Drosophila melanogaster: one gene and its partners. The protein of the gene in region 1 interacts with the protein of each later gene in a pairwise test. Each region holds a gene or a part of one and is shown in the gene's direction. Other genes may lie near its edges.

Region 1 (6,222 bases):
GGCCTACAGCAGCCTGGTGGTGATGGCCATGCTGCCCATCATCTTCGGCTCCATCCGCTCCGTGAAGCTGCACAAGCTGAAGAAGGTATGTGAAGCAGACTCAGCCCGGAAGCTGCATTAACATGTTTCCCGTAATTCCCACTCCCTGCAGTCAACGGGCGAGAAGGCGGACACGATGACCAAGAAAGACGCCATGTACTTCCCGCTGATCGCGTCGGCAGCCCTCTTCGGGCTGTACCTGTTCTTCAAGATCTTCCAGAAGGTGCACATCAACTACCTGCTCACCGGCTACTTCTTCGTGCTGGGAGTTATTGCTCTGGCGCACCTGCTCAGTCCGGTGATCAACTCGCTGATGCCCGCCGCCGTGCCGAAGGTGCCCTTCCACATCCTGTTCACTAAGGGGGAGGGCAAGCACAAGGAAGACATCGTTAACTACAAGTTCTCCACGCACGACATTGTCTGCCTGGTGATCTCCTCGGCGATCGGAGTGTGGTACCTGCTCAAGAAGCACTGGATCGCCAACAATCTGTTCGGTCTGGCCTTCGCCATCAACGGCGTGGAGATGCTGCACCTGAACAACTTCGTCACGGGCGTCATCTTGCTGAGCGGCCTGTTCTTCTACGACATCTTCTGGGTATTCGGCACCAACGTGATGGTCACCGTGGCCAAGAGCTTCGAGGCGCCCATCAAGCTAGTGTTCCCCCAGGACCTGATCGAGAACGGCCTGAACGCCTCGAACTTCGCAATGCTGGGACTAGGCGACATCGTTATTCCGGGCATCTTCATCGCTCTGCTGCTGCGCTTCGACGACAGCAAGAAGCGCAAGACGCGCATCTACTTCTACTCCACGCTGATTGCCTACTTCCTTGGCCTGCTGGCCACCATCTTCGTGATGCATGTGTTCAAGCATGCGCAGCCGGCTCTGCTCTACCTGGTGCCAGCCTGCATGGGCACGCCCCTCCTGGTGGCCCTCATCCGCGGCGAGCTGAAGGTGCTCTTTGCGTAAGTGTGGACTGCGCTGGGCGCTCGACTTGAAACTAAACTAACTCATTCTCGCCCCCACTGCAGCTATGAAGATCATCCCGAGGAGAAGCCCGAAAAGAAGGAGAAGAAGGAGAAGGACGAGGGCGTCAGCTCGTCCGGCAGCAAAAAGAAGGAGTCGAAAAAGGGCAAGTAGAGCCGGGAGGACGCAACATCCGAACAACATCCCCACTCGTTCCATCGTAAATGTCTTCTGCAGCTAGCCAAGCTCCCTTTCGTTTCGATATGGCTTCTCCATCTACCGCAGTCCATAGCTCATATGGACTAACACCGCTACAAAAGACGATTCACTTACTGAGTTAGTTATGTACGTTCCTTGGCCAGGCACAACAATCTTATTTAGTTCGGTTAGGTTACAATTGTAGAAAATGTTCCCTCGACTTTTTTACCGCAATCAATTTAAATATGTATTTCAAATATTTCTGTGGCTCCGCACAGGAGGCTTATATGTTTAAGAACAGTTTAGATACAAATATATTCCAATTTTTGTAAACAGTGCAATTTTGACTACGAATTCTACATTGCATTTCTTAAAACTAATGCAGTAATTTGTGTAAACAGTAATGCGAATAAATTTTAATTCTAACGTTTAATTAAACTAGTTTTGTATTGAGTAGAGGGTTTTTAGGAATGTAACGGCTTAAGAGAAAAACCTAATACATTTTAAGTTGAGCTTACCAAAATCCAAAGAATTTTTAAATTTAAAACATAATACAAAAGTGCTTTGAAAAAGTCAGTATTTTAATACCACTGTTTATCCACGGCCACACTAAATATCGATAACCGCATAGTGAGACCCTTTGTGTAGAAAAACTTATACCTTTAGCGAGCACAAGCGTTCATTCCTGAAAAATTGCGGTAAAAATTGCGAAAAGCGCGAGTTCCCCCCGCGATTGCAAATAATTAATTTGCTTGGAACCACTGGAGACGCAAGGACGAACAGAGAGGTAGGTGCTCTTGCACTTAGCGCGCCAAAAGGCGACAAAGCCCCTCGTAGGCCACTTACCCACACACACACATTCGCAGACAGACGCGCGTGCAAAAAAGGCCAAGTGGGACTGCTAGCGGAAATCCAGGACTCGAGGACACGTTCGGGCGGCAGTAGAGAAGCGAGCAAGCAGCGACGACCATGTCCGGCATTGCTATTACACGATTGGGGGAGGAGCGCAAGGCCTGGCGCAAGGATCACCCATTCGGGTTCGTCGCACGACCCGCCAAGAACCCTGACGGCACCCTCAACCTGATGATCTGGGAGTGCGCCATTCCCGGCAAGAAGTCCACCCCCTGGGAGGGCGGGCTCTACAAGCTGCGCATGATCTTCAAGGACGACTACCCCACCTCGCCGCCCAAGTGCAAGTTCGAACCGCCGCTGTTCCACCCGAACGTCTATCCCTCGGGCACTGTTTGCCTGTCGCTGCTGGACGAGGAGAAGGACTGGCGCCCCGCCATCACCATCAAGCAAATCCTGCTGGGCATCCAGGACCTGCTCAACGAGCCGAACATCAAGGACCCAGCCCAGGCGGAGGCCTACACCATCTACTGCCAGAACCGACTGGAGTACGAGAAGCGCGTGCGTGCCCAGGCCCGCGCCATGGCGGCCACTGAGTAGTCGGGCTCCTGCCAACCACCTTTACCACATAGACATTAACAAATACACACATCTAGCCGGTAAGCGTTTGTTTGGAATGCTCTCCACGTCTACTTACTTTTAAAGAATCGACTAATTTTGGATAGCCCCCGCGGCCCGAAGCATCTAATTTTTTAATGTTCTGCACTTGCTTAATTACCAGCATGTACCATCTGAATAAATACAAATAAGTCCTGTAATTTTTCGATGAGGCCCAAAGTGGCCACGTGGCACCCAGAATTCGACGCTCTTTTCAGCTTCCATTCTGGGTGCAGGTGCCGATTATTCTACGGGCTATTTTGTATCGCGAGTACTACGTACAAACCTATGTAATTTCAATAAAAATTTATTAGTTGTAAAAGCTTATGCATTTTAAAGCGGAAAGGATTTCCCAGCAAATGTGCAGTCGAGCACTTGTTGGTCGTCAGTAGCCGTACAGCTGGATTTAGTGCTTGAATTATTCCATATAAAGTTCTTCCTTTTGCTTATTATTTAAGTAACATGACTATTTTTAAATTTAAGCATTTTATTTAAAAACTTGTTCAGTCCATTTTTACCTTTATATTTTATTTGATTTTTAGGCATTTGAAGCTGGTCACATTTCCCAACTATTTCAGCTGATCTGGCAAGTCCGCCAACATTACTATGCATAATTTTTGGCTGATCTGGTAGCATTCGCTGCTGATATAGCAATGCTTCCAGCTAACGGTTCATTTCCAACGAGGCCGCCATATTGAAAAATGCCCAGTTAAAACACCTACTGAGATTTGTGTTCGCCTGGTACTTCAGTCTGGGGAATCCGGCATACTGACAGCTGAATTTATTATTTTTCCCGAGGATGCTCATATATTTCGAACTGAATTACCAGGGAAGCATAAGCGTGGAAAGGTGTTTTTAAAACAACCGCCAGGATTCCCAAAGTCTTGGTTTTGGTGGGCATGCTCTATTCTGAGTACCAGGCGAACAGAACTTCTAGTAGGCTACCAACGATCAGCTGATCTATCTGATGCCTGGTCTAATCTAACGGTTCTTTTATTAGGGATGCCACAATATTTTTCTATTGATCCGGTAATATGTCCGATGTTTGACAATATTTTAATCAATCTGGCAACTATGTCGTCATAACATTTTTCGCTAATCTGGCAGCACTCAAATCGTTCGTTGAATTCAAAAATGTAAAATGTCGTTTAGTTACTAATTTCACTATATTTTATATTGAATAAATTAATTACTTTTATTGTCGCACACACTTAATAAATAATGTACTCATTTAAATTACACAGTTAGAATTGCTCGCTTTATGGGGAACAGCGAGTAATTTACATTATAGTATTGGATCTACATTGGAATACTTCGCCTCCTTCTACTCCGCAGACCATTGCAAACTTGTAGTTTCTCGCCCTCAATTTAATTTCTGTCTAAGTGGTAAGCTTTGGCATGCATTATATGTCATGGTTCCCACTTAATGGGTATGCGCCTAAATTAATGTACCTAAGTATCTATGTGTTATTCCTTTAGGTGTACTGTATATGTACGGGAGTACGATGTATATATCTACTTCTATCGATCGGTAAGTCGAAGGAGTCAGTCCCCAAATGGAGTTGGAAGTGGAGGGCAGCGACGGGAGATTTTCCGGGAATACTGTCGTCGATGGTTGGTTGCGGTTTGGATAGTGTACATTTTTAAAGGAGGCTAGGATTCGATTAGTTTCGATTGGGTTGGGCTGCTGCTTAGAAGCACGTGTAATACCACTCAAGCTGCTTGCGCTGCGCCTCCCACCGCAGCTGGCTTTCTCAAATGGCCGCCTCCTGCAGGTTTTCCTTGTTCTTCTGCTGGCCGTGTCCGCCGACCAGGCCGCCAATGCCCAGGCCCACGGCAACGCCTCCGCCCAGGTGATTCGGACTGGGGCTGTCGCTGGCCTCGGGGCGAATGGGCTTGTTTTTGCAGTAGAACTGCTTGTGAGCCAGGTAGGTCTTCACGTAATTGAAGGATATGTCACAGGTTGAGCAGTACTTCTTCATCACCTCGGCGGCGGCAGCTGCTGCGGCAGCCACGCTGCTGCTGTTTCCCAGCGGAGAAGTCATCGGCGGAACCAGCCCGCCGGGCGCAGCATCCGCTCCGACTTCGATTGGCTCAGCCTTAATATGTGGCGTGGCGATCGGGGAGTTGTTGTTCTCGTGCACCAGATTCACAGTCGGTGGTGGATCCAGAGGCTCCGATTTAATGTGGAAACTGTGGACGAGGAAGTTAGAGAAGATATAGTAATAAGAATGTAGATAATTTCCTGTCATCCTTACCTGGGTGCTTCACCGTTGGATACATCGGAATTCGAGTGTTGGTTGGTAGTGGGGTTGGAAGTCACATCTTGATCTCTGGTGTCGGGGGAAATGGAGGGAGAGTTGATGGCCACATGGGGATGCATCAGCTTCATGTGGCGCAGCTGTAAGGAAAAAGCTATAGTGAGTTCTTTGGTCTGGCAGCAATAAAAAGGAGTACGCACCACATTGCCCTTGTAGGTGGAGACATAGTTGCAGTAATCACAGTTGAACATCTGCGAGGGATGATCCATGGAATCGTGTCCAGTTGTGGTAGATGCCCCTGTTGGAGTAACCAGTTCCTGACTCAGCGCGCTAGCATCCTCTTCAAAGATGCAGGTCATGTATAGCTCCTCGTTTACGTCGCTAGTCTTCTTGTCGAAATGGGTTCGAATGTGGGTGCGCATGCCGCGAAGAGTGTTCCCCTTGTACTGGCAGATGCTGCAGCGGTATGCCTTTACTGTTCCGTGCATCTCCATGTGTTTCTTGGCCAGTGCTGCTGTGGGACTCACTACCCCGCAAACAGGACACTTGTTCAGACTATTGGTGGCGGGTTGCGGATTGACTGTCGGCGCTGCGAGAGGATTCGCAACGGGTGGTGGACAAGGCAGACCAATTTCATGCAATGTCTTGCACTTTCCGCACTTCTCCTTTGGCATGCCCAGTTGGCCAGGATCCGTGGGCGTCGCGGCAGGGGCAGCAACTGCTCCTCCCTTGGGGCAATAGTAGTTCTGATGGGCTCGCAGGTTGTCCAGGGAAGTGTACTTAATTCCGCAGGCGGCGCAGATCAACTGTTGATATGCCACCGGTGTGGTTTCCACCGACGAAGCAGCCTCTGCAGCTCCGGCTCCCAGTCCTCCTGCTCCAGCGATGGATGGTGAAACGGCCGACTTGACATCCACTTCACTCGCACCTTCTTGGCTTCTTGCCGAGCAATAATGCTGTTTGTGTGCCAAGTAGTTCTCATACTTGCAAAACACAATATTGCACTCCATGCACTTGGACACGCCCTTTTTCACATAGATCTGAGGCTGCTGGGCGCCACCTGCCGATCCTCCACTACCCGGATTCCCACTACTAGTTTGGGCAGGAAGAGAAGCGGGCGGGAAGGCTGCTGCTCCACTACTGCCCGCCACAGCAGCTGCGGCCGCTGCCGCCGCCAGTTTCAGAGCCAGTTCCGGGTTGGTTTTGGCCAACAGCGACTCGGAGAGTCCAAAGTCCGCAGGTAGCATGGAGCGC
Region 2 (5,910 bases), on another chromosome or scaffold:
CCAACCTTCCTATCTGCTATGTATGTACATACATACGTGCTTACATACGTACATCTATACATACACATAATATTTGCCGGTGCTGATGCGACTTATCACTCCACCAGGCCTTTTCATTCCCACTCCCCTAGGAGATTGCTCATTTTCCATAGCGATACTCTCACTTTCAATGGCAGATAATGCGTAATTGCGGCAAATTCGAGAACTCTGCGATATTTTCAGCCCGAGAAGTTTCGTGTCCCTTCTCGATGTCGATGTTTGTGCCCCCTAGCACACAGACACGACGCGCACACACACAGCGCCGACGGGCGCACGCACACTACGATAGCGAGCGGTTGTATAAATAACCGGCACTTTCGTGCAACCGGCGTCAGTTGAATTCAAAAAGCCAAAGCGATAACAGCTAAAGCGAAAGTAACCTATCAACAAAAGAAGTTTATTCTTTGAAGGAGAATCATCTTGAAGCAATTAAAAAACAAAAATGGCAAATATTCCATTGTTGTTGAGCCTTGCCGACGATTTGGGCCGAATGTCGATGGTGCCCTTCTATGAGCCCTACTACTGCCAGCGCCAGAGGAATCCCTACTTGGCCCTGGTTGGACCGATGGAGCAGCAGCTGCGCCAGCTGGAGAAACAGGTGGGCGCCTCGTCGGGATCGTCGGGAGCCGTGTCGAAAATCGGAAAGGATGGCTTCCAGGTCTGCATGGATGTGTCGCACTTCAAGCCCAGCGAACTGGTGGTCAAAGTGCAGGACAACTCCGTCCTGGTGGAGGGCAACCATGAGGAGCGCGAAGATGACCATGGCTTCATCACTCGTCACTTTGTCCGCCGCTATGCTCTGCCACCCGGTTATGAGGCTGATAAGGTGGCCTCCACCTTGTCCTCCGATGGTGTCCTGACCATCAAGGTGCCCAAGCCACCGGCAATCGAGGATAAGGGCAACGAGCGCATCGTTCAGATCCAGCAGGTGGGACCCGCCCATCTCAATGTGAAGGAGAATCCCAAGGAGGCGGTGGAGCAGGACAATGGCAACGATAAGTAGAGGACTCGTTCCGAGAGATGCCCTGCATTATTTAACCATTATCAAAGTCATACATCTGTTTTATAAGCTGTAGTTATCCAAGGACACTTCACTCATACACAATAGCCATTAAGGGTGTCCTGCTTTAATCTTAGTTTGGAATATGTATTACTAAATTGGCGAAATTAATATTACCCATAAAAATAAATAACAAGTACACTTACTTATAATTGTGTTTGGTCTGTTTTTCTGGTTGGTTATGGGTTACTATTACTATTACTTTGGGAATTGTTTGGCTAGCTTGGCCCTTTTTCCTGTGATCCCGGTTTCTAGAATTTACTTTCTGCATTGTATATTGCATTGTTGTGTCACGTAAAATGGCATTTTTATTTAATTGTTGTTTGTGTACATAACTGACTTTTTACATTACTTCGGTAAAGAGACTTGAAGCTATGAATGTAAGGAACTTCAGTCAAGGTTAAATCCTTATGTAAAGCATGCATAAGTACATCATGTACATACATACGTACATAAGAATATACATCCCTTTTCACTCTCTTCTTTTTAATGAATTTCTGTCATCTCTACAAGAGATGTACGTTATGTACGTCCTTATAGCACGTACCTATGTACATGTATAAATTGAACTTCATTTTTGTATGTTACCGCAAATAATTACGTGCATGCACACATACACATACATATGTATGTATGCATGTAGTTTTGAAAATAATTATGTATTTTGGTTAACTGGTGAACCAAGAATAAAAAGATTCTATATACACATATACATATATATAGAAATGTATGCATATGTACATATAATAATCGAAACACTTGCAACAGACTGGCAATGATTTGCAAAATTTTCAATTGCCCCGTTTCCCACTTCGCGAAGCAGTGGCGAAAGCAACTGCAAAAATGTTTGCAACAAACAAAAGAACGGCAAACATGAGGAGCAGAACGAAGCGAGACAAGGGTTCAATGCACTTGTCCAATGAAAATACAAGCTCTGTTGCACTCTGAAAAGACAGCTTTTAAAAGAGCGATAAGAGAAGAAAATGCTTTAAATAAATACATATATCTGCATATATACGTACATGTACATACATATGTATGTACTGCATTTTAACTGTTCGTTTTGCTTTTTATTCGCAAAGAGAAACTCCCCAGAAAAGAAATGTCAAGAAGTTTCTGGTTCTTTCTCCCTCTCTCTATGAAAAGCCGGCTGTGCTAGAAAGAGCCAGAAGATGCGAGAGAAAACTGTTTGTTGAATTACGGGGCGTATTCAAAGGGGCTTTTAAATGTCGCTTAAATTTTAAGTTTGACAGGCTAATAATTGCTTGCCTATATCTAAATATTATTATATTTGCATTAGGGGATCATAGGGAAAACCTTCTCTGCAGGCAAAATCTAACGAAGATGGCAACCCCCCATCATTTTATTAAAGTTCCGTCCCTGGTTGCCATGCACTAGTGTGTGTGAGCCCAGCGTCAGTATAAAAGCCGGCGTCAACGTCGCCCGAGCACAGTCTAAACTGAAAAATTGAAGGCAAACGTTGAAGCAAACTTCGCTAAAAAAATTCGAAAAAGCAAAAAAAATTCCTTTGTCTAGACAGGGTTGTGAATAAAGAGAAAAAAAATCAAAAATGTCAATTATACCACTGCTGCACTTGGCCCGGGAGTTGGATCATGACTACCGCACCGACTGGGGGCATTTGCTGGAGGATGACTTCGGTTTTGGCGTCCATGCCCACGATCTGTTCCATCCGCGTCGCCTGCTACTGCCCAACACCCTGGGACTGGGTCGTCGTCGTTATTCGCCGTACGAGAGGAGCCATGGCCACCACAATCAAATGTCACGTCGCGCGTCGGGGGGTCCAAACGCTCTGCTGCCCGCCGTGGGCAAAGATGGCTTCCAGGTGTGCATGGATGTGTCGCAGTTCAAGCCCAACGAGCTGACCGTCAAGGTGGTGGACAACACCGTGGTGGTAGAGGGGAAGCACGAGGAGCGCGAGGACGGCCATGGAATGATCCAGCGTCACTTTGTGCGCAAGTATACCCTGCCCAAGGGCTTTGACCCCAACGAGGTAGTGTCCACTGTCTCATCCGACGGTGTGCTGACCCTCAAGGCCCCGCCGCCGCCCAGCAAGGAACAGGCCAAGTCGGAGCGCATTGTCCAGATCCAGCAAACGGGGCCTGCCCATTTGAGCGTCAAGGCACCGGCACCCGAGGCTGGCGATGGAAAAGCCGAAAATGGCAGCGGCGAGAAAATGGAGACTAGCAAGTAAAAGACGAAAAGAGGAAGACTAGGAGATGAAGAAGACGAGAAGAGGAAGAAGACTAGAAGAGGAAGAAGTCGTGAAGGAGGAAGAAGACGACGAGATTCGCTGGCGAAGCACGAGAGAAAGAAGAATTTAAAAGAAGAAACGGGAGTGTTGCCGCGCTGCTCGGAGAGAGCAAGACTAAAAAGGACACACCACAACACACCCAATGTATTACATTCACACACATCACATCATTACATCATCATCATAACATCCTAGACTAAGTGATTTTAAACTCCATTTATCATAATGCATAAAAAAAACAAAATTTTAGTGTGTATTATTAGGCTAAACAACTGGAGGATTCATTGCTCCCTTTGAGTTTATACTTTTTGTAACAAGAACAGGCGCAACACTCGGGAGAATTTTGCATTTCATTTGTGAATAAACGAATACAATAAATACAAATACACGAAAAGAAGTCAGCTGTCGAGTTTTTGTTGGTTTTTTTTCCTTTTTAGCTTCGAATCTGCAAATGTATTTGCATTTAGGGTAAACCGGCTTTTGTTGGGTGTCGTTAACTTTCAAGGGGTCTTATGTACATATTCTGTTTTCCTTGTCCTTGAATTGGACTTGTGGAAAATTAAATGGTCAGCCAATTGCTTAACCTTTGTCGACGATTGTTATGATGATTTGTAATGATTTTGCACAATTCAGAAATCGATATAAAAAAAAATGGGAAATGATTTTTGTTTTTCAATTACATTTTGACAAACGTCATGCAAATATTTCCAGTTCCGCGCACACTGAAAGAAAATCCAAGATAAGAACGACATTTAAATAATTTAATCAATTGTTTGCACATATTTATTTAAATATTTAATACATAATAAAAAATTTAGTTGCCCGTTCTGATTTCATATTGGTTGTTTTATGCTCGTAACTTGTAGCGATCATAAGTATTTACTGTTAATTCTATATCTATATCTAAAACGGCTTTCATTCATATTTCTCAGCTGGGTGTTGAGATACGGATATATCTCAGTTTTCTCGGCTCCGTGGAGCTTTCGCTGTTAACCGCGAAAAAGCTTTTAGTGGTTGTCATGTTGCTGTTGTTGGTTTTATCTTAGTTGATGTTAAGTAAAAATGTATTTTATGTATTTTTCTGCATTTTCTACGGCTGCGGCTGCTGTCAATATGTTTTTGCTTGCATTTATGCACGTTATGTATGTATATTCAATGACGCTTAATCACAGATCAATTTTTTAAAATTTCATTTGACTTAGAAGTTAAGAAACAAAACACATCCGAAGCACGAGAGAAAGAAGAATTTAAAAGAAGAAACGGGAGTGTTGCCGCGCTGCTCGGAGAGAGCAAGACTAAAAAGGACACACCACAACACACCCAATGTATTACATTCACACACATCACATCATTACATCATCATCATAACATCCTAGACTAAGTGATTTTAAACTCCATTTATCATAATGCATAAAAAAAACAAAATTTTAGTGTGTATTATTAGGCTAAACAACTGGAGGATTCATTGCTCCCTTTGAGTTTATACTTTTTGTAACAAGAACAGGCGCAACACTCGGGAGAATTTTGCATTTCATTTGTGAATAAACGAATACAATAAATACAAATACACGAAAAGAAGTCAGCTGTCGAGTTTTTGTTGGTTTTTTTTCCTTTTTAGCTTCGAATCTGCAAATGTATTTGCATTTAGGGTAAACCGGCTTTTGTTGGGTGTCGTTAACTTTCAAGGGGTCTTATGTACATATTCTGTTTTCCTTGTCCTTGAATTGGACTTGTGGAAAATTAAATGGTCAGCCAATTGCTTAACCTTTGTCGACGATTGTTATGATGATTTGTAATGATTTTGCACAATTCAGAAATCGATATAAAAAAAAATGGGAAATGATTTTTGTTTTTCAATTACATTTTGACAAACGTCATGCAAATATTTCCAGTTCCGCGCACACTGAAAGAAAATCCAAGATAAGAACGACATTTAAATAATTTAATCAATTGTTTGCACATATTTATTTAAATATTTAATACATAATAAAAAATTTAGTTGCCCGTTCTGATTTCATATTGGTTGTTTTATGCTCGTAACTTGTAGCGATCATAAGTATTTACTGTTAATTCTATATCTATATCTAAAACGGCTTTCATTCATATTTCTCAGCTGGGTGTTGAGATACGGATATATCTCAGTTTTCTCGGCTCCGTGGAGCTTTCGCTGTTAACCGCGAAAAAGCTTTTAGTGGTTGTCATGTTGCTGTTGTTGGTTTTATCTTAGTTGATGTTAAGTAAAAATGTATTTTATGTATTTTTCTGCATTTTCTACGGCTGCGGCTGCTGTCAATATGTTTTTGCTTGCATTTATGCACGTTATGTATGTATATTCAATGACGCTTAATCACAGATCAATTTTTTAAAATTTCATTTGACTTAGAAGTTAAGAAACAAAACACATCCTACACATGGACTAAATAATTACCGTCTCTGGTTGGTTTTTGGGCTTTTTGGCATGGACAACTTAGTGGACATACATATATGTATATGGTATGGGATCGGAGAGGCTGGATAATAAAAGCAGTACACGAATAGA
Region 3 (8,809 bases), on another chromosome or scaffold:
ACTACCGAGCATCTAATGACCATATCTGCCGGCCTTTCAGCTATCGGAGAGCGACGATGATGGCGTTTACACGCCGTTGCAGCGACCTGACGGTGCGGAGAAGGTGGCCAGTCCCCTTACCACCTGCCATCAGATCCAGACTGCGTTAGAGGACGAGTCACAAAGCAACAGCGACTCCTCGACTGCCGAATCCTCCGAGGACGGGTGCATCAAGAAGCTTCGTACGGAATCCACCGGACCCGACGGCCACAAGAAGCGGAAAAAGCGCATTCGGCGCACGGTAATGCGGCGCGTTCCGCCCACGGATGCTGAAATGCAACCGAATCGAGCCCGTTTCAAGAAGTACAACGTGTGGGCTTCTGCCCTGCAAGAGGATGCGCTCAGCGAGAATATGCGTGGCTGCGACGTTACCCGAAGCGGTCGGGATCGAAATGTTGAAAACTACGACTTCTCATTGCGATACCGGCTGAACGGCGAGAACACTCTAAAGCGACGACTCTCAAACTCTTCGGAGGACGGCGGCGAATGCTCCCATCCAGCTCACAAGAGGGGAAGACCTTCTAGTCGGCCCATCACCGGGAATCAACAGCGCGGTTTGGTCAAGAGTAGAACGGGTCACCGGTCACGTCGTGGGACATCTTCGGCCAGCGGATCTTCCGATTTCTGCGAGCCCAGACACATTCTGGACTTAAACGAAGTGGGTGAGAGAGATCCTTCGGATGTGGCTACCGAAATGGCCAGCAAACTGTACGAGGAAAAGGACGAATTACTTGGTGAGTATGTGAAATAAATAATGCCCTACTTAGTAAATAATGCCAGTTTTACCAGTTCGAGTCGTGGAGGTTCTTGGCATAGATGTGTGCCTAGAGCTATACAAGGAAACTCAGCGCATTGAAGCCGATGGCGGCATGATGATCAAAGTAAGTAGTAAAGGATGTTCCCCCGAATATACTAACACGATACCTCGAAACAGAACGGCATACGGAGACGTACACCAGGCGGGGTATTCCTGTTCCTAATAAAGCACCACGATAACATCACTCAGGAGCAGCAGAAGCGCATTTTTAGTGAGGATCGCCAGAGTCTGAGCAAGTCTCGAAAGCAGATCGAAACGTTGATGCGGGACCGTAAGGTGGAAGAGTTGAAGAAGTGCCTCAGCAAGCAGGTTACGGAACTGCCGACGTTAAATCAGCGCAAAGAGTACTACATGCAGGGCGACGAGCAAAGTGAAGATAAGCAACCGGGCAGCTGTAAGAAGATCCCATTATTATTGTTAAATCTCCTATGTGACTATTTTGACTATTTCAGTGTCCAACCCGCCACCCTCCCCTGTTGGCGCTGAGCAGGAGCACGACAGCCCTGAGTACAGGACCCACGAGATCAATATAAATCTTGTGGACAATGCGGAACTTCCCTCCACATCCAAAGCAGCGGCGGCGGCTCAGGGAGCGCCGCTGAAGGATTTAATCAGCTACGACCACGACTTTCTGGACGTCAATTGCGGGGACATGGACTTTTTCTAGGCCCACGCCAAGCGGCGGGCCCCTTTTATACTATTCTTGCATAGATAGACCCATATTTGTACAATTAAATAAATGCCTAGCGAATTAGGAATCTACGAAAGTAACGGTTGCTAACAAAGTAAACAAACGCACGCGTTAGGGCATTTTCGGGCTGCGTGAGACAAGACTCGGCCAGGCGGTAGAGATTTCCGCAGTGTCGATCGATAGTGTCAACTCTAGTCGGCCCACAGCGACGACGCCGCGTAAAATATTTTTGTTTCTCCGCATTCGTTGAAAAACAGCGGCAATTGCTTGTTTTTATGTGTGGTGCGCGTCCCAGGCAAATGCAAACGAGTCCGCGACTTCAATTGCCGAACGCCTAACGCCACCGTGAATAGAAAATAATAGTGATGCGAAAGACCCGCTCTCAGACGGCTCGCACGCAGGCGGAAAATGCCGCAACATCTTCGAGCCCCGGGCACCAGTCGACTTCGTCAGCGCCAATAGCAGTTAATCCCTTTGATTCCACCAAGTACAAGGTATGTTTCCGCCAGTCTCAGTTTATTCAGTCCAAAGAATTTTTCATAAATATGGGGGCCATGGTTATTGATAAGCAGTGTGACCGCAGAAAAAAATGGTGTCTGTACCCTTCCCCACCCACGAACAGAGTGATTTGCCAGCCAAATCCGCCGGCGCTTAACAACACTATCATCCGCCATATTTCTTCAGACCGTGCGGACAAAACAAAATTCGTGTGACAAAAAAGGGGGCATTTTTGCGGTAGTTTGTTTAAGTGCAATTTGCGAAAGAAGGAAGGCTGCCAGTGGCGAACACAAGCCTTACCAAATTTTCTGCATATACCAACGTTAAAAGCCACTGAAACCCGATCGGTTCCACGAAAAGAAACTTTTTGCGAGAACGCCATGTTTGAGCATCTAGGTAATGATTTGGTGGCATGCGGCAGTTTCGGACCAGTAAATTATCCACAGATGGGAAAAATGTGGAAGCCAGGCTTTTGTCCGACTGTCAAGCAATCACTTGGCATATAATGTAGAGCGAATTTATGATTTTTTCTGCATAAAGCCGCACAAGGCATACGCATGTGTACATATGTGCGAAAACGCGATATTTGCATATAGAGCGCGCTTGTGTGTGTGTTCGTGTGGACGCTTGGTGCTAAGTCCCGCTATTTGGACATAGACACCTTCCCAATTTTCCGAAATACAAAATTTTCATTGTTCGCCATGCCATTTCCGTCTCTTCAGGAATGTGAGCAAATGGTGCAGATGCTTCGAGTGGTCGAGCTGCAAAAAATCCTGTCGTTTCTGAACATCTCATTCGCTGGACGAAAAACTGACCTGCAGAGCCGCATCCTCTCGTTCTTGCGCACCAACTTGGAACTGCTTGCCCCGAAGGTCCAGGAAGTCTACGCCCAGTCCGTGCAGGAACAAAACGCCACGCTGCAGTACATCGACCCAACCAGGATGTACTCGCACATCCAGCTGCCGCCCACCGTGCAGCCCAATCCCGTGGGCCTCGTGGGCAGCGGCCAAGGTGTGCAAGTGCCCGGCGGCCAGATGAATGTGGTCGGCGGCGCACCCTTCCTCCACACACACAGCATCAACAGCCAGCTGCCTATTCACCCCGATGTGCGGCTGAAAAAGCTAGCCTTCTACGATGTACTCGGAACGCTAATTAAGCCTTCAACTCTGGTGCCACGCAACACTCAGCGCGTCCAAGAGGTGCCTTTCTACTTCACGCTCACGCCGCAGCAGGCCACCGAGATTGCCTCTAATCGCGACATTCGCAACAGCTCCAAGGTGGAGCACGCCATTCAGGTTCAACTGCGCTTTTGCCTGGTGGAGACTTCGTGCGACCAGGAGGACTGCTTCCCGCCGAACGTAAACGTCAAAGTGAACAACAAACTCTGTCAGCTGCCTGTAAGTATTATCCGATTATCCAATCAGGACCTGGTATAATATCCTGCTCTTTATTCCAATGCAGAATGTCATTCCTACAAACCGACCAAATGTGGAGCCCAAGCGTCCGCCGCGACCCGTTAATGTCACGTCCAATGTAAAGCTGTCGCCTACCGTCACCAACACCATAACGGTTCAGTGGTGTCCGGACTACACTCGTAGCTACTGTCTGGCCGTATACCTGGTAAAGAAGCTCACCTCAACACAGCTTTTGCAGCGAATGAAGACGAAGGGCGTAAAACCAGCGGACTACACGCGAGGCTTAAGTGAGTTTTCTGTGCTCCAATGATGCAAACTTAATAATAAATACCATTTTTTTAAAGTCAAAGAGAAGCTGACTGAGGATGCTGACTGCGAAATAGCCACCACTATGCTGAAGGTTTCCCTTAACTGCCCGTTGGGCAAGATGAAAATGTTGCTGCCTTGTCGAGCATCAACCTGCTCGCATCTGCAATGCTTCGATGCCAGTCTCTACCTGCAAATGAATGAGCGTAAGCCCACGTGGAACTGCCCTGTATGCGACAAGCCGGCCATTTATGACAACCTGGTCATAGATGGGTAAGAAATGTCATTTCATTTAGCATATTTGTAACTGATTAAACTCTGTTTTCCAGCTACTTCCAGGAGGTGTTGGGCTCGTCGCTTCTAAAGAGTGATGATACTGAGATTCAACTTCATCAGGATGGATCTTGGAGCACACCAGGACTACGGAGCGAGACGCAGATCCTTGATACGCCTTCAAAGCCCGCCCAAAAGGTTGAGGTTATATCGGATGACATAGGTAATCGCCTAACACGCAACCTTTTAAATTGTTTTGACATTAATCAAGTTTTTCGGACATTACCAGAACTTATCTCGGATGACGCCAAGCCAGTAAAGAGGGATTTGTCCCCAGCACAGGACGAACAGCCCACATCAACGTCAAACAGTGAAACTGTAAGTAGAGAGCACCAATCTACAACCTACCAAACTGTCTTATCATATGACTGTATTCTGTCTGCGCAACAGGTTGACCTAACGTTAAGCGATTCAGACGACGACATGCCGCTGGCTAAGCGTCGTCCGCCCGCCAAGCAAGCCGTCGCCAGTTCCACGTCGAACGGCAGCGGTGGCGGCCAACGTGCCTATACCCCGGCACAGCAGCCCCAGCAATCCGGTACGTTGGATCCCTTTTTGCAATAAGCCAGTAACGAGAATTATATCTCTGTATAGCCAAGAAATCTTTATGTTTACAAATTGCTAATTGTAGACCCTAGGGTAAAGTAGTTATAAGAATCCATACACATCCCATTTACATACATCCACACTGACTCAACCACGCTTCGGCACCAATAATTTAGACAAAGGAATGAAATCCTAACAAGATCAAGCATTTAGGTTTCGGTTCACCTTTTACGGCACACCTCTAGGACATCATTTAACGTAAAAGTATTTTTTTGGTGCATCAATTGTCTTAAATAATATTAGAAAATTTTAACTGCAAAAGTTCGAAAGAGTATTCACATTGTCCAAAATGAAAATTACATATATGTTACATATGATTCTGACTTCATCATCACTTATTGTTATTCAAATATAATTAGGTCCCCGATTCCGCTTATGACTTTAGTGCATCATTTGATTTTAGTATGAGTACACCCAGTTAAAATTAACCCAATTTTACGTGTAGTATGTACAAACATATGTTTATGTTTCAAAAAAGTGACCAGAAGGGCTATTTATCATGATAATTTTGTGTTAGATCTACGGAGTCCAGCATCGAAAAGGTTTCCGTAGATTTCGTAAAATCCCCTAGCCAAAACTTGTATAGACTAAGTAGGCTATAAATTGACTCTATCCGCTTTCGTTGCTTGTATTGTAGGTGGTAATGTTTTTAAAAAACCTCAGAAAGCGGAGGAGCTTTACAAGCGTGTTCATTTAGGAGTTTGGCTGCGCCCACGGTATGTTTTCCGTCGATCGATTGTGAAATGGTTCGGGTTTGGAACAAGAATCCCATACTTAATCAGAACATTCTTACAGAAAACCCAAGCCAGAGAGCTCAAGGCGCCCAAACGTCGGCTAAGCAAAGTTAATAGAGTATTTTTCGGTTTTATACCACCATTTGTCCTAATTCATTTTCAATGTATTTTCTGTTGTCACCGAATCTAAATTATTTCACGATATGTACTCTTATTTTAAGTGATAATTTTAATAAATCATGCCAGTTTGTTAGTGAAGGTTTTTGTTGAGAGCCTCTTTTCCGATTGTTGTTGTGTTAACCTAAACCCAAGGTTATATGATGATAATAACTAAACTAATTCAAGTAACTTGTGCATTTCTTTGTCTTTTTTCTTTCTCTCTCTCTCTTTCTCTTCTTCCCCTGATCTTTTTGTGTGACCCGTCCATGCTGCCGCCGATGCAACTCGTAGAATCCCCAGAACAGCAGGCCAGCCGCCAATCGCCAGAGAAGCAGACAGTCTCAGAGCAGCAACTGCAGCAGCAACAGCACGAGCAGCCAGCGACGGCAGCCGTCCATGCCTCCCTCCTGGAATCCCTGGCTGCTGCGGTCGCGGATCAAAAGCACTTCCAACTGTTGGATCTGGCTGCGGTTGCGGCTGCTGCAGCTGCCACGGCGTCCTCCGGCCAGAGCCAGAATGCCGGCCCGTAGGCAGGACCCACATCCCACACACATTAATCGCACATCTCGCGGCTCGCGGTCTCTTACTGTTATGGTCCCTATATTGGCCCGTCCAGTTTCTGTTTTCGGTTTCACTTCCGGTGGCGCACGGCCACATATTACCTTAGAGGCTATTCTTCGGCGTTCGATTCGCCGCCTTGCATCACCTCATTATTCATACTCTATCAATCGCGAGCCACCAACTGATGCTTGTAATTCTTGTGTTGCAGGACGCAGGCATAACAGACAGGTTTTGTAGGAGAGGGTCCCCTGTTCCCGAATGAATCCATGTGCTCCCCCATCGGCCAGATTGTTGCTGCCCCTTTTTTCAGTTGGCTCACACCAAAACACTTTGCTTACGTCCCGTGTCTTTTATTCGTGTCGTCTCGAGTAGTTAGTTGTGTTACGCTTTGCCAGCGCTCTCAGCAACACACGCCACACCACACAGCAACTGAAATATTCCTAGATATTGCAAATACACAAACTAGCACCAGCATTAATTAGCAATTACTATAGGAAACGCAATTAATTTATTTTCCATTGAAGCGGTCAGCGCAATGAACACTATGAGGAAAGCGAAATGAAAGGATGCATGCCAGGCGGCGGCCAGTCGCGGCACCAAAATTTAAAGTAGTTAAGTTATTTTAGTTAAACTACGGATTCTGTACGGATTGGAGGCGGTGCTGTGTGCAGTTGGAGGGTGTTGCAGTCCTCGCATTTAAGTTACGTTGCAAGACAGGGCGGAATGGCATATGGCATTAAAGGTCCATAGTATTGAAAGCAATCGAAGCCGTTTTTATCAATGCAAATCGATTGGAAACGACGGATTATGTATGTTATGTATGTCGTCCAGCTAGACGCTCAGTTTATATGACCTCCCTGGCCTTTGTTGGCGTATTTAAGCTCAAACCGTACCACCACGGATTTATATGTTAAGATTTAAAATTGAACAATGCTTTGACTATGACATGATGCAAACCCCCTAAATATCTGAACGAACAAATATGAAATCAATGTACAAGGAGATGTGTACTTTAACTATACGATTAAACAATTTTCAACCAAGACCTGTCGTTTTATTTACCAACGGGGGTCAAGCTCTGTTTTAAGATTAAACTGATTTTTCAATTTTTCATTCAGCATCCCGTTTCTAATTGAGCCCACCTGAAACCTTTTCTTTACTTGCAGAGGATAATGACGAAAACTGTATGGCTAAGGCCAAAGAGGATTCCGTAATTGATCTTCTAGATTCGCCATAAATCGCCGCCGCAAAGATCTTACAAGTAAGGTCCTACAATATCATTAGGCGACCCAAAGAATTAGACTTGGCCTGTTAAGTTAACTTAATGCGCCACAAGTGTATTGTAGCATTCTAAGTATGTTATATTTTTCAGTAGTTTGTATACAAATATTAGCTAATGATTGACTTAAATGAGAATAAATGGCTTAAGACAACACGAATTAGTTGGGATTATTTTATAGCTGCATTTTAAATTTCGCGCCAATCAGCTGTTTTTCACTTTTTGAACAGGTTGGCAGTCCCAGTACAACTTTTACTTTTGTTCACGCGCGTAGTTGCCATATTTTCAGGGGGGTTTCTAATACAGTTTCTTTTATTTAGGAAAAAGGTTTTTTTTTTTAAGCAGTACTTAATGAAATAGTAATACAATGGAACAATTAAAAAATCTTTGAAATGAGAAGTTGGAATTGCAAAATGCATTAGGTCTGTTCCCTGTTAATCTGCGCCCATGCCGCTGGCTTCTTGTTCACCTTGATCGCCATTTGGTGTGTGAATTCTTCGGGAGAATGTCGAAGCCAACGCTGTACTACGCCCTTTTTAGTCCTCCTGCCAGGGCATGCATCCTGGTGGCCAAACTTATTGGACTGGACCTGGAGCTCAAGTAAAAGAACCAAAAGAATGGTGCACTTTTAAATGCAGATTGCTAATGCAAGATCTTTTCGAATCCTTAGACCCGTTGACTTCGCCAAGAAGGAACACCTGAGCGAGGAATTTGTCAAGGTTCGTTGGATTTGAAAACCGTTGATTTCGTTATGTAACGCTGGCTTCCTACAGCTAAACCCCCAGCACCAGATCCCGGTGTTTGTGGACAGCGATGGCGAGGTCTACGTGGACAGTCACGCCATCGTGTGCTTCCTGGTAGCCAAGTACGCCGGGAATGACCAACTCTATCCGCGGGATTTGAAAAGGAGAGCCCACATCGACCATCGCATGCACTACGAGAACGGAGTGCTATTTCAGGTGGTAAAGGACATTGTGGCTCGGAACATTTACGGTGGCGAGGGAGAATACAACCCCCGATCGCTGACCCTCTGCCACAATGCGTACTCCGACTTGGAACACTTTCTGCAGCAAGGAAGTTTCGTGGTGGGCAACGAACTGAGCGTTGCCGACGTGTCCATCCACACCACTCTGGTGACCTTGGATCTGCTCATACCAGTGGAACGGGAAAAGTACCCGCAGACTAAGCAATGGATGGAACGCATGGATAAGTTGTTGCCCGACAACGAGGAGATCAACCTCAAGGGTGCACGGGCTCTGCAGACCCGCATCCTGAGCTGCATGGCCGAGAACAAAGCGAAGAGCCAGTAGATTCCTTCTTAATGAGGCTCTCATGTTACACATTCACAGCCAACGTTTTGTGTTCCCCATG
Region 4 (8,829 bases), on another chromosome or scaffold:
TGGACCTTTTTACCAATCAATCGTCTTATCTATCACCAGAATTGAAACAGAATTAGTGAATAACTTATGGTGCATATCAGTTGAAACATGAAGATTCGTGTGAACGATCGTGAAAGATATGGTGTTCGAACTTTAAATTACCCTTGTAGTTTACCACTCTCATTAGTTTTGATTTATGTAGAACCAAAATTTGGATCGTGACTTGCGATTAGTATTGCAATCGCAGTGCATTGCCCAATCTATTGATTATCTGCAACTTGTGGCAGACTGCCGCAATAATTCGACGGACACTATCAGCTAGCTCCATTGATTGAGATAAGCCCGTTCTCACGCGGTGTTTTACACTTCTTGGCAATCGCCAAGTCACGGCCCTCGCCATATAAAAAATATAGTATGAACAATCGGGAATCTTTTGGTTTTACGATCGACCGACAAAGCCCATGTATTTCCTGTTACGTCCATTTGGGCCATATAGGCACATAAAATGGGTGCTCCAACGCTTGCCGTGGGAAAGTGTGCTCCAATTGCAAAGTTGTAACATTGAGCGACATTTGATGAAGGTTACCGACTTTTATCTCGACAAAAACACACACGAATTCCAGATGAAGCGAGCGTGCGTAGTTTGCACTGCAAGTTTTTTTTTTGGAACAAATAGTTTTATGTTTATATCATTTTATATCATATTATATTCCTTATTGATTGAGTGTCTGCACGGGTCATTAAATTAAGAAGCAAAAAAAAAAAAGGTGTCAGGAATTGCATTCCATACTCCTACGAGTAGATATCAATTTCACCCGATCGTGGTCAATTGGTCAATTGAAGTAATTCACAATTGAATCAATACAATACCATATAGGGCTTCATTGAAGAAGATGCCAGCAGGACTGGATGCTCATGCATGAATAAGTTGAACGTTGAACGCAAGCAGAATGGATTTCAGCACACACCGCCTGACCACTTTGCTGCTCCTCCTCCTGGCCACAGGTGAGATATCGCAATCCAGATATTGCGATCTAATAATGAGGGAATTTCTCCTGCCCACAGTTGCCCTGGGAAATGCCCAAAGCAGTCAGCTCACCGTCGATTCCCATGACATCACCGTTCTGCTGAACAGCAACGAGACTTTTCTGGTGTTCGCCAAGTGAGTTGCCATTGCCGGGAAATCCAAATCCAAAACATATGGCATCGTAAATCTATTGTGCCCATTACAGCGGATTGCTAGACAGCGACGTGGAAGTTGCGCTGGGAACAGATTCGGAGGATCATTTGCTCCTCGATCCCGCAACGTTTGTGTATCCAGCGGGCAGTACTCGAAATCAGTCGGTGGTGATAACTGGCCTCAAAGCCGGCAACGTCAAAGTGGTCGCAGATAGCGATGATGCGAACAAAGAGATGTGAGTAACTTCACGGGAATCCCAACTGTTCCCGTACCTAATTGGAAAATTCACTTATTTTCCAGTGTGAAGGATGTGTTCGTACGCGTGACTGTGGCCAAATCGAGAGCTTTGATCTACACCTCCATCATCTTTGGCTGGGTTTACTTTGTGGCCTGGTCGGTGTCCTTCTATCCGCAGATCTGGAGCAACTATCGCCGCAAGTCCGTCGAGGGACTGAACTTTGATTTCCTGGCCCTCAATATCGTGGGCTTCACCCTGTACAGCATGTTCAACTGCGGCCTCTATTTCATCGAGGATCTGCAGAACGAGTACGAGGTGCGATATCCGCTGGGAGTGAATCCTGTGATGCTCAACGACGTGGTCTTCTCACTGCATGCCATGTTCGCCACCTGCATTACGATCCTTCAGTGCTTTTTCTATCAGGTAATAATATATATAGCAAATACCATTCAATAGCCTTATCGCCGAAGTGGCAACAGTTGTCGCATTGAACACTAATTGCCATCAATCAAAATGCCAAATCATTTGAATCACAGCGGATAGTTACGATATGAAGAGTAGATAAGGTTTTGACTTGTAAAACATCCATACTTTGTTAAATTTGTCCAGAGAGCACAGCAAAGGGTGTCGTTCATTGCCTACGGAATATTGGCCATCTTCGCCGTGGTGGTCGTCGTGTCTGCCGGTTTGGCCGGAGGATCCGTCATCCATTGGCTGGACTTTCTGTACTACTGCAGTTACGTCAAGCTAACCATTACCATCATCAAGTACGTGCCGCAAGCTCTGATGAACTATCGCCGGAAGAGCACCTCCGGCTGGAGCATCGGCAACATTCTGCTGGATTTCACGGGAGGAACGCTGAGCATGCTGCAAATGATTCTGAATGCTCATAATTACGGTAGGATATAGTCTATCAATTTGTGATTTTCGAATGAAATCGTGTCTGGTTTCCAGATGATTGGGTGTCGATTTTCGGTGATCCCACCAAATTCGGACTGGGTCTGTTTTCCGTGCTCTTCGATGTGTTCTTCATGCTGCAGCACTATGTGTTTTACAGGTGATTGAAACATTGTGTGAATATGATACTTAATCTACGATTATGTCATCTCCACTGTACACTTATCATTATTGCTGTGCTGTTTTCCATTTCTCCCCAGGCATTCGAGGGAATCCTCGAGCTCTGACCTCACCACCGTGACCGATGTTCAAAATCGAACAAATGAGTCGCCGCCGCCGAGCGAAGTGACGACTGAGAAATATTAGAGCTGCATTATCATATGTCTGCTGTAGAGAAAGACTTTTGTGCCAGTAGCGCTTTATGTACATTTTTAGAATTGTAAATATATCCGTATGCCGTAGCTGCCTAAGCTTTGTATAATTCGTGCGTTTTAATTGAAATTTAGTTTGACTAAAATTTGGAATTTCACCATTAAATAAAACTTAATTTTTTGTAGGAGCCAGAAATCATACGGTACATTGCTCGACCATTCAAAGGGCTGTGCAGTGAAACCAATTTGCTGCATACGGCGCGTTATTTGCAAACTAATAAATAGATTGAAGTATTGAAAAAATTTCAAAACAGAAATTCTAACTTGCCGCACAATGGGCAGCACTGTTCGCACTCGGCCAAATCCTTATCGATAGCTTATCGATAGCCATGGATATATGACATTAAGTTAGCCAATTTCCGGTTAGTTGACATCCCTGGAGCACGGAAGATTCTTGCGGACACAAATCGCAACTGCTAAATAAAATTTATTTATTTGAGTGCACAGCCATGAGTCTTCACAAGTCCGCGTCGTTTAGCTTGACTTTTAACCAGTGAGCGGAGATATTTTATTCGGTCTTACCCAACAAAATAATGTTGCGCCTTTTTGCAGAAACACTTCGATTGTTTCGCGTAGCAATAGTCGCACAATTTTTGAAGCTTTCAAGGAGTTCCTGGATTTTTGGGATATCGGCAACGAAGTTTCTGCAGAGTCAGCAGTTCGGGTCTCCAGCAACGGAGCTTTCAACTTGCCGCAGAGTTTTGGCAACGAATCCAACGAATATGCCCACCTGGCTACGCCTGTGGATCCAGCCTACGGAGGCAACAACACGAACAACATGATGCAGTTCACGAACAATCTGGAAATTTTGGCCAACAATAATTCCGATGGCAATAACAAAATTAATGCATGCAACAAATTCGTCTGCCACAAGGGGTGAGCAAATTCAAAACACGCGCTCCAATCGATAAACATTGGCTACGGCGATTGTTCGCGCTGCGTGGCGAATGGCAAAATCCAAATAGTCGGTGGCCACTACGATTCTGTAGTTTTTTGTTAGCGAATTTTTAATATTTAGCCTCCTTCCCCAACAAGATCGCTTGATCAGATATAGCCGACTAAGATGTATATATCACAGCCAATGTCGTGGCACAAAGAAAGGTACAGTGCGGCAACAAATTGATGATCGAACAGTAGAAACCTTGCATGTAGCAACACGCTTGTACTTGCATCATTCGCGCGGCCAACTTGTTTGTGTTTGTTTATCCAGCCAAGGCGCAGTTTGCCACTAAGTTTTTATTTCCCTTTTACACTTTAGCACTGATTCCGAGGATGACTCCACGGAGGTCGATATCAAGGAGGATATTCCGAAAACGGTGGAGGTATCGGGATCGGAATTGTGAGTACCTGGTCACGTGGTCACATGTGGTTTGCCTGGTTGCTAACTATTATTGTTTTTATTATTCCAGGACCACGGAACCCATGGCCTTCTTGCAGGGATTAAACGTGAGTTGTGCTTTTAATGTGCAAAGCTATAGCTTACTAACTATTTAATATTATTCCCCGCAGTCCGGGAATCTGATGCAGTTCAGCCAGGTGGGTAACATCGATTAGCTATTGCATCTTGAAGCGCTGGGACAGATCGGCCTGCACGAGGATCAGCAGGAAGCTGGCCACCGCCGAGAAGACATTGCTGATCAGTCGCATGTCCAGCTCGTACAAGCCCAAGGGTTTAATTTGGTACTTGGTCACCGTGACCAGCAGAGTAAAGCCGTGGACTGCCTGACGGTAGCGGCTGTCCGCATGCTGGAGATTCATCTCCTGGAGAATGACTGCCGATCTTCGGGTGGCCACCAATAGGTGGTTGCACAAATGCGTGAGCAATGTGATCTCCGCCAGCGAGATGGAGAGGAAAACCAGATTGATCAGCGATCCAAGACCATCGTACGGCTTGCCCATGATTAAGGTGTCCGCTATGGCATAGTACAGACTGTAGAAACCCACCGTTATTCCGAGCAGGTGGCATATGAGCGACAGAATCATGGACAAGGACATTGGGGTCAGATACTTTCCCGAATGCACATATATCAACCTATAGCGATACGCCAGCTGGTCGAGTTCATCCGCCAAGGCGCAAAATCGCTGCATGCGGTAGTATTTAGTGTACAACTTTAGCTGGTCCTTCCTCTGCAGCAGATTCACCTCCTGCAGCTGCGCTTCCAGCCGTCTGTTCAGAGCGTACAGAATCTCCTTCACCACCACCATTGCGCCAAAGTAGCAGTTATTGAGAAAATTCGAAATAATTAAGGGAAACAGCCGGTACAAGGTCCAGATCAAGCTCATCTCGGGATGCTGCCGCCTCTGTTGCAGTATGAAAGCCACTTCAATTGTTAGAGGAAAAGCCACGGTCTTGACCAGAGCCAAAACGATGGATATGTACAGCGACCTGCTGTCCAGACGGAATTCTTTTAGGGTATCAAAGAAGGGCACTTTGCTCAACACCTTGGCCACATGGTCACTGATTATCATTTGCGACACATAGTTAATAACAGCCACCGTAATGTTCATATAGCTGTACAGAGTGGTGGCGTCCTTCAGGTTGATCTGACCCTCCTGGTACTCCTTGTAGATTTGCCGCCCGTAAACCAAGCTGAATGCAATTGCCCACAGCGAAGCAAAGGCCAGATTTGCCTTTGAGAAGCGGAATCTTTCACGACGGCCCGCCCGATATCGATTGGCCAGGAGTCCGAAGACGGTCATAAAGCCTATCAGTATGATCGTCAGAAATTTCACCATACGCCGATGCGCGTAGTCGCTGGTGAAGTCCATTTCTCTCGAACAATTAATACAAACTGTGAGCGCACTTTCCACAGCATTAATATCTGCTTAATTGTTTTCCAACTACCCAACTGATGCCATCTAGAGGACCTGTCAAGTAGCCGGACACTATCGGGACACATCGCGAAACGCATGTATTTCACCGGCCGTCCAGAAACCAACTGAGCATGCGTTGTGCTACTACTAGCCACAAACAAAAGAGCATAAGAAGCGTGAGGGAAGCGGCATTCCTTGCGTGACTCAGCCGCTGCCTGCAATTTCATAAGAGCGACATGACGTCAAAGTCGCTTCGAAGTTCACTTTCAGTTGGAGGACAGAACAAAACACTCTTATCTAGCCGATTAGCACGGTGCACTCCTTCCCGTCGTCATCGTTTAGCGAGAATTTCAAGCACTTGTGAAAAATAGAATAGAATACAAAACAAATCGCCAGTCCATTTGTAACTCGAGCAAGCTGGAACATGAAGCTCTATCAGCTCTATGAGCGCAAAGTGTGAACCCTTATATGATTGCGAGTTAAGTTGACATTCAAATAATATCTTGTTTTTGCTTACAGCAATCCGTGCTGCGCGAAATGATGCTGCAGGACATTCAGATCCAGGCGAACACGCTGCCCAAGCTAGAGAATCACAACATCGGTGGTTATTGCTTCAGCATGGTTCTGGATGAGCCGCCCAAGTCTCTTTGGATGTACTCGATTCCGCTGAACAAGCTCTACATCCGGATGAACAAGGCCTTCAACGTGGACGTTCAGTTCAAGTCTAAAATGCCCATCCAACCACTTAATTTGCGTGTGTTCCTTTGCTTCTCCAATGATGTGAGTGCTCCCGTGGTCCGCTGTCAAAATCACCTTAGCGTTGAGCCTTGTAAGTGAAGATAACAATACAGATCGAACAGGATTATTTAACTATCATTTGTACAAACCTTTAGTGACGGCCAATAACGCAAAAATGCGCGAGAGCTTGCTGCGCAGCGAGAATCCCAACAGTGTATATTGTGGAAATGCTCAGGGCAAGGGAATTTCCGAGCGTTTTTCCGTTGTAGTCCCCCTGAACATGAGCCGGTCTGTAACCCGCAGTGGGCTCACGCGCCAGACCCTGGCCTTCAAGTTCGTCTGCCAAAACTCGTGTATCGGGCGAAAAGAAACTTCCTTAGTCTTCTGCCTGGAGAAAGCATGGTAAGGTGACAGCAAAACTCTAGATGGCTAGAACAAAGCTTAACGTGTTTTCTTTCTTGCAGCGGCGATATCGTGGGACAGCATGTTATACATGTTAAAATATGTACGTGCCCCAAGCGGGATCGCATCCAAGACGAACGCCAGCTCAATAGCAAGAAGCGCAAGTCCGTGCCGGAAGCCGCCGAAGAAGATGAGCCGTCCAAGGTGCGTCGGTGCATTGCTATAAAGACGGAGGACACGGAGAGCAATGATAGCCGAGACTGCGACGACTCCGCCGCAGAGTGGAACGTGTCGCGGACACCGGATGGCGATTACCGTCTGGCTATTACGTGCCCCAATAAGGAATGGCTGCTGCAGAGCATCGAGGGCATGATTAAGGAGGCGGCGGCTGAAGTCCTGCGCAATCCCAACCAAGAGAATCTACGTCGCCATGCCAACAAATTGCTGAGCCTTAAGAGTAAGCAGTGAATCGGAGGACAAAGAGATTAAGCTTTACTTACCGAACTTTCCTTTCAGAACGTGCCTACGAGCTGCCATGACTTCTGATCTGGTCGACAATCTCCCAGGTATCAGATACCTTTGAAATGTGTTGCATCTGTGGGGTATACTACATAGCTATTAGTATCTTAAGTTTGTATTAGTCCTTGTTCGTAAGGCGTTTAACGGTGATATTCCCCTTTTGGCATGTTCGATGGCCGAAAAGAAAACATTTTTATATTTTTGATAGTATACTGTTGTTAACTGCAGTTCTATGTGACTACGTAACTTTTGTCTACCACAACAAACATACTCTGTACAAAAAAGCCAAAAGTGAATTTATTAAAGAGTTGTCATATTTTGCAAACATATCCTCGTGGTGTACGCCAATGCCCAGAGCCTACTGTACCCCCACCGTGGAGCACATGCTATGTGACATGTGTGGCTTGTGTGCGGTCAATGCACTCAGGATGCAACTCAGCTAGCTAGCTGCTAATATGTCAAAATTGCTGCGTCGCATTTACATACTTTATTTATACCCGTATCTGCACGTCTTTGGTTTTAGTTCTATGCTTTCAAAAAAAAAAAAACAACCTCAAGCAGGGCGCATGCGTTGCGCCAGCGTTGCACATGTGCGAGGATGCAAAAAAGTGCAACAAACACCAGATGTTGACACTGTGCCGCTGCAGCTGCAGGCGACTTTAGCTTTTGCCACATGCGGCAGCTAAATGTTTACTCTAGCCCACCGATCGCTGTTCATTGACCTAGGGCAGGGGCATTAAGTGCGCCCTAATCGTAACGGAATGATAGCCTCTGTGTCCAAAAATTCAGCCAAAGCGGATGCACTCACTTCCATTTGGGGCCTGTCCTTCTTCGACCGGCTGCCACTTCCACTACCAGTTTGGCACCACGAAAATGGGTCGTTCAAAGTGCTCAAAACCCAGCGGAGCAACTCACTCAATTCTCGTTGGACGAGCGCACAGAAAAGTGGTTTTGGATACGAGTTGAGTTCGAGAGACCTTTCTGCACTGGGAACATACATGCGGCTTTGTGTAACAGAATAATAAAGTACGCAAACATATCTGTAATACTTAAAGCACAAAGAACAAATATAAATGTATCATAATTTGTTTAATTATTTATTCGAGGTTTCCAAACAAGTCATTCTGATAACAAAAGTTGTAAAAATAAAATCCACTAAAATTAAATATCACCCACTTCTCAGAATAAGCACAGCTGTATATACTTCAGTATATATTTTTTTCAGTGCACTTTTCCCAAGCGATGCAATCGCCTTAGAAGCCCAATTAAATACGTTTCTTTGATTGGCGGGTGCCAAAAGGTTGACAATTCGAAAGTGGCGCACACTGGGAGGCAGTGACTCATAATTTACATAATTATTTCGGGAAGATATTAAGACTCATACTATATTCAAGCAGTTGTTTATCATTTTAAACTGGCAGATACCCCATCTTTACGGACCAGATAAAGGGAAAGCAAACACGGCTGGGCTCTTATCGGCTACGATCTTCATCCGCAGTTCCCACTGTGCGCGTGGGGAAAACAATATGGCCCAAACACATAAAAAACAACAAAAAAAGGAAACAACCACAGAAAGCCGGGCTAAGACGTCAGGTGAAACGCAGTAGCTTCACTCGCGACTCGGCGCTTCC

The links.
Region 2: the proteins of lwr (region 1) and Hsp27 interact in a two-hybrid assay, tested with the Drosophila melanogaster proteins (one study listed by BioGRID).
Region 3: the proteins of lwr (region 1) and Su(var)2-10 interact in a two-hybrid assay, tested with the Drosophila melanogaster proteins (2 studies listed by BioGRID).
Region 4: the proteins of lwr (region 1) and p53 interact in a two-hybrid assay, tested with the Drosophila melanogaster proteins (4 studies listed by BioGRID).

Annotation. Positions count from the first base shown.
Region 1 is NT_033779.5:538,196-544,417, reverse strand, and holds lwr (lesswright), read left to right. Parts: upstream 1-1,837; 5' UTR 1,838-1,988; intron 1,989-2,038; exon of another isoform or gene 2,039-2,067; 5' UTR 2,068-2,170; coding exon 2,171-2,650; 3' UTR 2,651-2,709; exon of another isoform or gene 2,710-3,181; intron 3,182-3,249; 3' UTR 3,250-3,819; downstream 3,820-6,222. Other genes in the region: Spp (signal peptide peptidase), read left to right, coding at 1-85, 152-1,002, 1,069-1,177; ush (u-shaped), read right to left, coding at 4,462-4,900, 4,966-5,108, 5,169-6,222.
Region 2 is NT_037436.4:9,381,517-9,387,426, forward strand, and holds Hsp27 (heat shock protein 27), read left to right. Parts: upstream 1-2,546; 5' UTR 2,547-2,669; coding exon 2,670-3,311; 3' UTR 3,312-4,178; downstream 4,179-5,910. Other genes in the region: Hsp23 (heat shock protein 23), read left to right, coding at 482-1,042.
Region 3 is NT_033778.4:9,114,411-9,123,219, forward strand, and holds Su(var)2-10 (suppressor of variegation 2-10), read left to right. Parts: upstream 1-1,711; 5' UTR 1,712-1,912; coding exon 1,913-2,041; intron 2,042-2,207; exon of another isoform or gene 2,208-2,746; coding exon of another isoform or gene 2,747-2,767; coding exon 2,768-3,442; intron 3,443-3,506; coding exon 3,507-3,747; intron 3,748-3,804; coding exon 3,805-4,039; intron 4,040-4,095; coding exon 4,096-4,262; intron 4,263-4,328; coding exon 4,329-4,417; intron 4,418-4,477; coding exon of another isoform or gene 4,478-4,489; coding exon 4,490-4,637; coding exon of another isoform or gene 4,638-4,663; exon of another isoform or gene 4,664-5,342; coding exon of another isoform or gene 5,343-5,421; exon of another isoform or gene 5,422-5,500; coding exon of another isoform or gene 5,501-5,543; exon of another isoform or gene 5,544-5,695; intron 5,696-5,889; coding exon 5,890-6,128; 3' UTR 6,129-6,367; coding exon of another isoform or gene 6,368-6,396; 3' UTR 6,397-6,406; downstream 6,407-8,809. Other genes in the region: Phax (phosphorylated adaptor for RNA export), read left to right, coding at 41-773, 829-920, 974-1,250, 1,309-1,523; GstE13 (glutathione S transferase E13), read left to right, coding at 7,944-8,038, 8,109-8,157, 8,212-8,748.
Region 4 is NT_033777.3:23,048,354-23,057,182, reverse strand, and holds p53 (p53), read left to right. Parts: upstream 1-3,100; 5' UTR 3,101-3,174; coding exon 3,175-3,218; exon of another isoform or gene 3,219-3,277; coding exon 3,278-3,601; exon of another isoform or gene 3,602-3,788; coding exon of another isoform or gene 3,789-3,826; exon of another isoform or gene 3,827-3,983; coding exon 3,984-4,064; exon of another isoform or gene 4,065-4,134; coding exon 4,135-4,171; exon of another isoform or gene 4,172-4,234; coding exon 4,235-4,261; exon of another isoform or gene 4,262-4,267; intron 4,268-4,279; coding exon of another isoform or gene 4,280-5,494; intron 5,495-5,952; exon of another isoform or gene 5,953-5,963; coding exon of another isoform or gene 5,964-5,993; intron 5,994-6,058; coding exon 6,059-6,368; intron 6,369-6,432; coding exon 6,433-6,679; intron 6,680-6,741; coding exon 6,742-7,136; intron 7,137-7,195; coding exon 7,196-7,218; 3' UTR 7,219-7,526; downstream 7,527-8,829. Other genes in the region: Ctns (cystinosin), read left to right, coding at 930-984, 1,045-1,141, 1,212-1,394, 1,460-1,820, 2,007-2,295, 2,352-2,454, 2,555-2,660; Gr94a (gustatory receptor 94a), read right to left, coding at 4,280-5,494.